Caenorhabditis elegans: one gene and its partner. The protein of the gene in region 1 interacts with the protein of each later gene in a pairwise test. Each region holds a gene or a part of one and is shown in the gene's direction. Other genes may lie near its edges. The genes, in order: vet-6 and rbm-7.

The links.
Region 2: the proteins of vet-6 (region 1) and rbm-7 interact in a two-hybrid assay, tested with the Caenorhabditis elegans proteins (one large-scale study listed by BioGRID).

The regions. Positions count from the first base shown.
Region 1 is NC_003279.8:13,267,923-13,273,293, forward strand, and holds vet-6 (Very Early Transcript), read left to right. Parts: upstream 1-2,061; 5' UTR 2,062-2,077; coding exon 2,078-2,369; intron 2,370-2,423; coding exon 2,424-3,254; intron 3,255-3,313; coding exon 3,314-3,649; intron 3,650-3,697; coding exon 3,698-4,770; 3' UTR 4,771-4,860; downstream 4,861-5,371.
Region 2 is NC_003281.10:12,927,630-12,933,554, reverse strand, and holds rbm-7 (RRM domain-containing protein), read left to right. Parts: upstream 1-1,687; 5' UTR 1,688-1,693; coding exon 1,694-1,873; intron 1,874-1,918; coding exon 1,919-2,127; exon of another isoform or gene 2,128-2,167; coding exon of another isoform or gene 2,168-2,373; intron 2,374-2,417; coding exon of another isoform or gene 2,418-2,463; intron 2,464-3,609; coding exon of another isoform or gene 3,610-3,663; exon of another isoform or gene 3,664-3,682; intron 3,683-3,837; coding exon 3,838-3,974; intron 3,975-4,875; coding exon 4,876-5,081; 3' UTR 5,082-5,185; downstream 5,186-5,925. Other genes in the region: Y37D8A.19 (uncharacterized protein), read right to left, coding at 2,168-2,373, 2,418-2,463, 3,610-3,663; mrps-10 (Small ribosomal subunit protein uS10m), read right to left, coding at 5,770-5,901.

The DNA.
Region 1 (5,371 bases):
TACAGTGCGTCCAACTTCTATAGCACCCCCCTCCAATTTGGCGGTTTGGAGCTTCTCAAAATATTTTTTGAAAAAGTGCTAGTGCAGTTCGATAGCAAATGTTGAAAAACCTATGCTCCCCAATTTTCATTATGATATCTCAAAAATCACAGGAATTAGGTCAAAATATCGGAAAAATGGCCGTCCAACTTCTATAGCACCCCCTCTGATTTTTGGCAATTTTCGGTAAAATCGGGGTTTTCTTCTTAATTAATAAATTTATTTTGTGAATAACTTTACAACAAAATGTTCAGACGGTTTCATTTTCACATTTAAAAAATAAATATAACCCCTGAAAACACGTGGAACGCCTAGGATTGTCCTGGAACGTTCGTATTTGCTTCAGAGGCCATTTCTCGGCTCCCAATGATTTTCGCAGCACCAAACTTGACCAAAATGATCTTCCCCACCTATTTATTACTATTCAAATAATTGTTGAAAACATTTATTCATATGAACCAAATGGTAAAGGGAGCAACTGCAGTGATTTTCAAAAGGCTTGATTTAACTATGAAAACTAGCGTTTGGAGGCGCAGAGCTGATGGTTTTGACTTCCTATTGTACAGAATTTTAGCTCATCCGGTTCAAATATCCTTGAAGCTTTGATTTTGATTAGAAGTCTTCGAAAATTTATTCGGAAAAGTTCATGAGACCGCTCAAAAGAGGACAAAGGCAAAGCGAGGCCGCAAGTATTTTTCTCAAGCTAACACGCGAAAATTTTAAAGACGAAAGTAAGATATAACTTTCTGAATGGCGATTTTTCTAGCTGTATTTATAACTCAACTGAAATTTAGCGAATTTGCTCATTGAATATTTCTATGGTCAAAGAACCTAAAAGCTAACAGACAAAACCTGAATCGGTGAATGTAGATGTCTAGCATTTGATGTATCCATGGATTTCCACAGATTTGATGTTCACATAATATAATTTTTTTTTTTTGCTATAATTTAGTAATTCTTAGTCGAAAATGTATTACCAACCTTCAGCTCTGCGCCTCCAAACGCTAGTTTTCATAGTTAAATCAAGCCTTTTGAAAATCACTGCAGTTGCTCCCTTTACCATTTGGTTCATATGAATAAATGTTTTCAACAATTATTTGAATAGTAATAAATAGGTGGGGAAGATCATTTTGGTCAAGTTTGGTGCTGCGAAAATCATTGGGAGCCGAGAAATGGCCTCTGAAGCAAATACGAACGTTCCAGGACAATCCTAGGCGTTCCACGTGTTTTCAGGGGTTATATTTATTTTTTAAATGTGAAAATGAAACCGTCTGAACATTTTGTTGTAAAGTTATTCACAAAATAAATTTATTAATTAAGAAGAAAACCCCGATTTTACCGAAAATTGCCAAAAATCAGAGGGGGTGCTATAGAAGTTGGACGGCCATTTTTCCGATATTTTGACCTAATTCCTGTGATTTTTGAGATATCATAATGAAAATTGGGGAGCATAGGTTTTTCAACATTTGCTATCGAACTGCACTAGCACTTTTTCAAAAAATATTTTGAGAAGCTCCAAACCGCCAAATTGGAGGGGGGTGCTATAGAAGTTGGACGCACTGTATACCCTAGTTTGAAATTGCTTGGCAAAGTAAGATGAAACATTAAAAGAAAAGGCACTGTAATTCAGCAAAACAGACTTGACTGTACGTCCCAATTTATTGCAAGAGTGGGAGAATATTAGTGTCATTTGACAGATGCTCAGTGTTTTTCTAGATATTCGGTCTCCTGGGACTCCACTATAAGAGGGTTGCCATCGTCTCCTTTTCAGACAATGGCAGGCTCCTCCTTTGTCCAGATAAATCACTTTATGGGTAATCGATAACCCAAAACGCGCAAATGGAGTCTGACAGATTTCAGGCACCTTACCACTCAGTCTTCCAGTCATTCAATCTTCAACTGCCCTTCCTGGTTGGTGAGCTGGTTTTTTCTTTCCTTTTTTCAATTATTTTCCTTATTTTTCTGTTACCTGTTTTGTCGTATTGTCTTGTCTAGAAGATTCTAATTATCTTCAATTTCCAGAAAGTAAACTCCAACGATGAGTTCCAACTCTGCACTTGAATTGAAATCTGCTCTCTCACAACTCAATCGCGAACGTTCTGAAATGGTCAAAGATCTGGAAAAGGCACAAAAAGACTATGTGGCTGCAAGAAACATGCACAAGTCTACTGGCTCTCAAAATCACCTTGAAGTTGTTAACACATGCTGGAAGAATGTTCAAGCGGCACAAAAAGCTCATCAGAGCAAAGTAGAAGAATTTCATATGGTTCGCCGTTCATTCGCGGATGCAGTGAGGGAGAGTCCGGAATCTTGTTCTATTAAAAATCGAGGTCAGTTTTCATTACTCTTTGAAGATTATAGATTTTCTAATCCTTTAATTTCAGAAAGCAATCCATCTTCAACCAATGATCAAGATTTAGCCGCCAAAAAAGCTGTTCTGGATGCCGAATTCCGAGAAGAAGCCATCAGAGACGGAGTTTTTATCCCAACTCAACGATACAACTCTACACTTCCACCACCCTTGGTTCGAAATGAATATGTTGCCGAACCAAAGAAATCGACCGCTGATGAAGATTTCGAAAAGCGGATGGTAGAGCTTCAACGTCAAGCTTCGAAGTATGCAAAGATTGGTGATTCAGCGGTATTAAAAGATCGCTCAACTGGATTGACAGCTGCTACCATACAGCTCTTCGCAGAATATTTTCCCAAGCGCCGCGAGCTGTCAAACGCTCGAAAAGACTTCATGACAGTACTGAATTTGCATGCTTCTACTGGTTTTCTAAAATACTGTGAAGCGGTTAATGCAAGCAGGAAACACTTAGAAGCGGTAGAAGAGGCTTATCGGAAAACAACCAATGAGCTTTGCAAGGATCTTAATGAATATCCGATGGAGTCTGATAAAGATGTCAAAGAGCGTGCTTCAAAGTATGCAGAGATCTGTCGTTTAAAGGAATCAGAAGATCAACTTTTGGATCTGCTAAAGCCGGCATCCAGCGAATTAATCCCGTTGTTCAATGAAATAGTGAATCTGTCCGGCATTCGTACCAAGAAGACACCGACTCAAACCACTGAAGCCTCACAGATTGCTCCAGAAAGCATTTCTACCTCAAATGTAGATCCAGCAACTCAACTAGATCCTGAAACTACCCAGACATCACCGCTCACCTCGGCCCCAGTTTCTTGGTTCAACTCTGAAAGTTCCGATATAAACCAAGGTAATTTAATATATTTATTAATATACGAAACTATAATTAATTATAAAATCTTTTTGCAGACATCACATCATATCCGGATCTAGTACACCACCCTGGTGTAGATTCCGAAAAACAGATGGTCGAGTTTCATCGTCAAGCTTTGAGGCTTTATGAACTTCAGACTTCTCAGACACTTGCTTCTTGTTTTGATTCTGAAAGTCAAGAAGTGAACTCATTGCTCAATAATGCGTTCGTTGAAGCCTCAGAGATTACTGAAGAAAACATTTCGACCACAAATGTAGAATCTACATCACAGTCAGAGCCAACAGAAGTAACTCCAGAAACTACCCAGGAATCAGCACCCACCTCTGCTCCAGTTGTCTGGTCCGAAGCCCCAGGATATGGTGCGAGACAAGGTAACTAATTAAGTACCACAAATCTTTTAATCATATTATTATTTTCAGAATGTAATCCTCGGATGTGCACCAACAGACAACACTCTTCTCCAATCAGGATCCGTCATTGCACATCAAGAAATGTCACAACTTACAGTGTCTATTGCTGGAAGAGACCTTCTCACGTATACACCTACAATCATCAAGAGGAGAAATTCGAGCAGCACAAGTGTCTTGCCTGTGTTCCAAGAGTTCAAGAAAACCACTTATTCCCCACGTGTGCAGTTTGGAACGAGAAAATCTCCAATTTCGTGATTTTCATGGACAATATGGTGACAAAGCAAAAAGATGAGCAGTACATGTTCAGCTTCAAGACTGGGGGATTCGAGCAAGTGAACTATCCGGAGGTGCAACCAGCTCAAGGACCGAAAAACACTGATTTTGTAGCAGCAGTCAATGGAGATGGAGATGATCAAGTGATCATCCAAAAGTCACGATTTGGTGTGAAGAAGCTGGAGTTCAGATATGGAAAGTATGTGAAGATTCCGAGTGTTGAAGTGAGAACTCTTTTGATGAAGGAGCTGGAGGGTGTGGAGATGGTTCAAGAACCATCCAGTACTCTTCCATTATCCACAATCCGCTGGTGTCCAACATACAGTCAGAGTGCTCTCTATATCTTCTCCAGTCGATTGGGACATTATCTCAAGTACGCATTCAACCCATCTACACAGCAATTCGAGCAACTCAACTGTTCGGGATGCCCATTAAATGTTGAGGAATGGCACTTGTGTCCATTATACGCAGAGTACGCTGATTCTATCAAAACCTATGTAATTCATGTCTTCAACGATTTCACAAAGGAGATTGAGAAGTATATGTATTGCGTGACAGGAAAATGTTTCTATCAAGTTACATGTCCGGAAATCGTCTACGATTCATCGAAGGCCCATAGCTCAACAGTGCTTTTCACCGTTTCTGCTCCAAATCACCCATTCACAATTTTTATGAAGGATGTTAATGGAAGAATTAAGAAGGAGCAACTCAACGGGCTTCACAATGGTTATATGGAACTTCCCAGCGCCAAAGTCTACACGTTGTATGCGATGAGATGTAATAATTCGGCTGGAACTACCGGCATCTGAAAATATATTCATTTTTGCAATATTTCCATTTGATTTTCATTGTTCTGACCTGTCCTTTTTTGATAATTAATTTCAATAAATTATGTTTTTTTATTAGAATGCAATTTTATTAGAAGCAATTTATAAGAAGCAAATTTTATTAGAAGCAATGGCTTAGGTTCCCCGAATAGGGCCACTGAGATTCTTAAAATACTTTCGAGCCAGACCTAGGTAAGTAGGGGAAGAGAAAAAATGAAATAATGAGTGGACGAAAAAGTAAAATGACCAATTGGACGAGCTATAGTCTCCGGGAGGTCAAGTTGGGAAGAGGGTGTCGGAGGGAAATAGAGCCTAGGCGCGACGTCTACCGTAGACAGCCCTACCCTAGACTAAAACATGTTTCAGGTGTGTCTCAAACATTGATACACGTCTCAATTTGAATTTGTCCACTAAACGGTATGACTGACATTCCACTTTTTCTGCTTGAACTCAGTGAATATGAAACTTTTTCAAATTTGGTTTCCAAATTCTGAAAGACCACAAAATTTGCAACAAAATGACAGGGATTTTTGAAAATGTTAGTTTAAAGCTAGATATGATTTTTTTAAATTGGAAAAATTGT
Region 2 (5,925 bases), on another chromosome or scaffold:
TTTTGCAGACGCTAAAACAATTTCCAAGTAAAAAAATCATGTATTCAGTGGGCAAGCAGCGGTGAAAGTGGGCATTGTAATATGATTATTGGCCACTTTCACCGCTGCTTGCCCACTGAATACATAATTTTTTACTTGGAAATTGTTTTAGCATCTGCAAAAAGTATTTATTTATCAGTTTTAATAAGAAAAAACGAAAAAAATCGATGAAAAACAAAAGAAAACAGGCGGAAAACAAAGCAAGATAAATGGCCGCTGAAACTTGTCGGCCCCTCGGCCATGGCCTAGAAACCACTTTTCCTCGTCCCTCGTGAGGAAAAAGTTGCAGTGGCGCGCGAGACAGATGTGGCGTTGTTCCAATTTCTTGGCAATTAGCCAAGAAAATGGGAGAACGAACGGGGAAGAAGAGATATGGGAGACGACGGGGGAGACCCAGAAAAGGCGGAAAGTGAAAGAGCTGGGGAAAAGTAGTGGAATATCAAATTTAATCAAAATTCTTCGAAAAAAGGGGTTTTTTGCATTAAAAATCATGTTTTATGTTCATTTTATGTTTTATTACATGTTATCAGTGAAAATAATTGTTTTTGTCATCAAAAAGTATTTGTGAGCATGCTCATGAGCACATATGTGTTTGAGACAAGATTTCTAACAATTTATGGTTTAAACACACTAAATAAAGTACGAAATTACGATTAGCGTTTAAAAAAAATCAAAAATCTTTGTAAAAAATGCCAAAGAAATCAAAATTTGATGTCTTATCATCATCATTTGTGGGTTTTTAATGAATCGTCTAGCAAAAGAGAGGCAGGAAATTGCACTTTTCAGAAAAAAAACCCCACGAGGGGGCGCCTGATCTTGTTTTTTCTCGATAAAAATTGCGGAACAACGGAGAAATATTTATTTATCAATCTAGAAAAATATTGTTCCTCATAGCCTGAACCTGAAAAGAACTTTCTAGTTTTTTTGAAACTGCTATGAAATAGTTAGTAAAACAAATAAATAATGACTCATTTGGGCGCTCTGACGATCTGAAAAGCAGGTAAATTCGTCATACAGGAGAAAAATGAGGAAGAAATAACCTTTTTTCTTTTGAATTAAAAAAAAGCGGACATTTTTCTGAGGAAGAAGGGGGCTAAAGGGTGGCTAAAGGGCTCTTGAGACGGATTCGATTTATTTTTTGAGGTAGAAATATGGATTTTTAAGTCAATTTAAGTTTGGTTTCAAACAAAGCTAATTCTCAGGAATTGAGCGGTTTAGCTGTATAAAAATTTTAAAAATAAATACACCGCTCGCTCCATGGAGAAATATTAATTTTTGCTTTAAATCGAACTGTAGAGCTCTGCGAGCCTCTTCTCCACTCGACACACGGAAAAAACTAGTAAAAGTACCTGAAATATACTTTGGAAACAATTAATTTTCACAAAAAACGGAAAAAGGTTAAGTAAATTTGCTAAAACAACCAGTTTTTGTCGGCTAGGTTCTACTTTTCTAGTGCCGTGCTGGCTTTTCTCTATGCACGAGATATGCGCCAGCAAAATCGAGAAACGCGTCAGCGAGGACATGTTTGCGCCATCCGGGAATGGGAATGGGATTTATTTGGTTTTTCTCGTTTTTCTCGCTTTTTCTCTCACATGAGTGAATTTTCAGCCTTTTTTTCGAAATTTCGAATTTAAATTTGAATTTTCAGCAAAAAATGGAAATAAAACCAACGCCATCGCCTCCAGAAGAGCGCACAATATACGTGGCCAATTTTTCAGAAGAAGTCGATGAAGAATTGCTCGAAGAGCTTTTTATTCAAGCCGGCCCCGTTGTAAAAGTTATTCTGAGAGATGTGAGGGATTCTAATGCAAAATTCGCATTGGTGGAGTTTGAGGTAAGCAATTTCGCTGAAAAATTTAAAAAAAAAAATAAATTTCAGGACGAATTATCTGTACTATTCGCCATTGAATTGATGAATGGAGTGCGACTTTTCAATCAAGAACTACAAGTAAAGCCGCGAAATGGCACAAATCAGGAGGAATTATATAAGCGAAAAAAAGGAGAAATCGAGGAAAGAGTTCGATCGGTAGCGGCACCGGATCGAGACGGAAGACGGGATAGCTATAGAGATGATCGGAACAGGAATAGGTAGAGTTTATTGGATTAATTCAAGGATTTTAAGGCTCAATTAGCACGATCTGACGCAGCAAACACAGCTTCTTCCGTTTGTCGACGGGAATCCGGAGGCGCGATCTGCGGAGAGCCCGGCGGCAAGAGCAACGGATGCACAACATCCTGGGCATCGTTCGGCTGGATTTGAAGCAGCGTCAGTGCACCGAGCATTTGTAGACTGGCCGTCAATGTTGGCGACGAAGCCGGCGGCAGTGGAGCAGGCTGGAAATTGAATTTTATTGATTTTTTAGCGTTAAAAATCGTACCAAAGCAACTTGGGAATCTGTTAGCATTGTTATTGTTCCAGATGATCTGAAAAGAAACAAAATTGATTTTTTTTTTGAATTTTATAATGAAACTTCTTGAAAACTTTTCCAAAAAAAATTATGACGGCTCAAAAAATGGCCTAAAATTCGTTAAAATCGGAAATTTGATCGACTTGTCAATGTCGCAGCGGCTGGAAATATATTTTTTTGAAATCACCGTTAAATTTTGAGTCTACAAGTTGATATTTTGCGTTTTAAACTTGATTAACAAGGAAAGTCGAAAAATTTAATGTCTGACTTTGGCATGACATAGTATTTTTCGATAAAAGAGTAAAAATAATGATGCCTCCAAAAAATTTAGCTGCCCGGTTCAGGTTCAGCAAAGTTATGACGTTTTGGAAGTGACTAAAACACCTTTTTACAAAATTTCAAAATTTTCAACAAAAAAAAATTTCTAAAAAGAGGAGCAAATGTGTGTAAATTATTCAAAACAATGAAAAACATATGCTATGCAAGTTTTAGGTTATACCTCTCAAGAAAACCCACAAATTAAATCTGCAAAAAAATGTACTTTTTGGAATTTTCCTCAAGTTATGTAGATCAAGCAATGTGCTTTTTGGTCTGTGGTGAGAAAAAACGTGTATGATAAATGTTTTTCTCATTTTTGGATAAGTTAAAACAGTTTTTTCCTCTTTTTAGAAAATTTTTTTTTTTTTTGAAAATTTTGAAATTTTGTAAAAAGGTGTTCCAGTCACTTTCAAAACGTCATAACTTTGCCGAACCTGGACCGGGCAGCTAAATTTTTTGGAGGCATCATTATTTTCACTCTTTTATCGAAAAAAATACTATGTCATGCCAAAGTCAGACATTAAATTTTTCGACTTTCCTTGTTAATCAAGTTTAAAACGCAAAATATCAACTCGTAGACTCAAAATTTAACGGTGATTTCAAAAAAAAAATATTTCCAGCCGCTGCGACATTGACAAGTCGGTCAAATTTCCGATTTCATCTAATTTTAGGCCATTTTTTGAGCCGTCATAACTTTTTTCTGAAAAGTTTTCAAGAAGTTTCATTATGAAATTCGGTGTTTTCAGACAATTTTGAGCCTAATAAGGCAATTTTTAAAAAAAATTCTACTACACCAGTGGTGTAACACCACCTTTAATTATAAAAAACATTATAAAAAACTCACGCTCTGCCCCGCAGCCACAGAAATTACAGCGAAAAATACGATAAGAAGCTTCATCTCTAACTCAGACGATGATAAAAAGATCAAATTCGGCTTTATTTTATACCCGGCGTTGGCTTGGTTTCTGTCTCACAACATTTTTTTTTTGATTAAAAATCTCAGAAATCGAAGAAAAACGTTGAAAATCAACAAAAAAAGGCCGAAAAATCATTTTTTTTTTGTCTTTTCCAGAAACGGAAACAACCGTGACTCATGGCAGCAGCAGCAGCCTCCTCGTCATCATCGACAATATGATCCTCTTCCACCTCCACCGCCACCTCCACTGATGGGAGGATCCGGAGGACATTGGAGAAGCGGAGGGGAAAGAGGTAGCAAAAAAATCGATTTTTAGTTGAAATTTCTGAAAAATTGGAGATTTTTAGGCCTGAAATACATGAGAACGGGCTCAAAATAACTGAAAAATGGAAAAAAAATCTTTTTTTTAAAAATTTTTTTTTGCAAAAAATTCAAAATTTCAACCTTTTTTCCGCAAAAAAACATGCTGAAACCCTAAAAATCGATAATTTGCAAGGTTTTTGCGGAAATTAGCCGGAAAATTTGATTTTTAAAAAATTGAGCCAATTTTTGAGGAATTTTAGAAGAACAAATCTATAATTTTTCCGAAACCCCCTCAATATAAGTGAGAAATCGGTGAAAAAATCTTAATTAGAAAAAATTTTTTTTTGTTCAAAAATCTGAAAAATTGGAGATTTTTAGCCCTAAATTGCATAAAAGCAGGCTCAATTTACCTAATTAGGCCTAAAATAACTCAAAAATTGGGAAAAAAAATTACACCAGACGAAAAAAAGAGCATCGTTTGTCCAATTTTCAGACATTTTTCCGCAAAAAAAAATTGCTGAAGCTCAAAAGTGGCCAATTTTAGAGAGTTTCAGGGACTTTTTTTGCGGCAAAAAGTCTGAAAAATCATTCCTAAAATCAAATATTAGAGAAAAATTCAATGAAAACCAATAAATTTTCTGCAGAAAAACGCAGAAATGTCGGAAAAATTCGTTAATTTTTCCAAAAAATCGATTTTTTTTGCAGAAGTTTCTGAAAAGTTCTAGATTTTTAGACCTAAATTTCATGAGAACAAGCTTAATGTACCTAAAATAACTAAAAAAAATTGAATAAAATTGAAAAAGCTGAAAAAAGTTCGCTGAAAAAAGTAACCAATTCAGCCGAAAAACGCAAGAATGTCGGAAAAAAAATCGAAAAATCAATATTTTCCAGGTCCTCCACAATATTCGACTCCGCAAATGCTTCCTCATCAACATTTTGTAAATCAAATGATGCAGCAACAAATTAATAGATCCGCTCCTCCGTACAATGGACGTCATCAGAATTCCACGCCACACCGTCATCACGATCGTCATGGATATGACCGAAGCTCGAGCCGGCATCATCGCAATGATGACAGAAGACGTGAACGTTATTGATCGATGATTCGGGCGGGAAATCATAATTATTTTGATCTTTTTCACTTGTTTTGCCATGTTTTTTGGTCTCATTTTATATATTTAATAAAAGCAAACACAATTTGAAAATATAGAGAAAAATGCAACAACAAAGATCTACTGGAAATTTTCAAAAAAATTTATTTTTAGGCTCCGCCCACTTCCTGGATATCCGGAAATTTCAAGTGATTTTTTTGGAATTTTTTTCCTTTCCAGAAAAACAGATATCTCCAGGAAGTGGGCGGGGCCTAATAAGCCGTTTTTTTTTGAAAAATAAAAAAATCCAAAAAAATTTATTTTTAGGCTCCGCCCACTTCTTGGGCATTCGGAAATTTTCAGTGTTTTTTTTGGAATTTATTTTCCAAAATAACCTATCTCCAAGAAGTGGGCGGGGCCTAAAAAGCAGTTTTTTTTTGAAAATTGTTAAAAAATCAAAAAATTCGGATTTTTTTTGGAAAATCCTAAAAATTCAGAAATTCCACAGAAAAAAAACACCTTTTTTTCAATTTTGGCTAAATTTTGGCCGACCAACCAGCGAATTGCTTCGCCCACTTTCCGACCAATCAGGTGAGAGGTCCACCTTTATTATTTCATTAAAAGTAAACAATTTGAAGAAGGAAAAAAAAACGAAATAACAATAAGGATCTACACACTAGAATTTGGTTATAAATCAATTTTTCTGAATTGTCAGCGGTAGTGGTTGAAGTTCGGTGAATCCGACACGCATTCCGACGCCTTCTGGGATGTTTCGTTGGATGTATTCGAGGAATGTTGAAGCTGTGGAGCCAGTCACGTTGAGGATCTGGAAAAAAAAATTTAAGGTGAA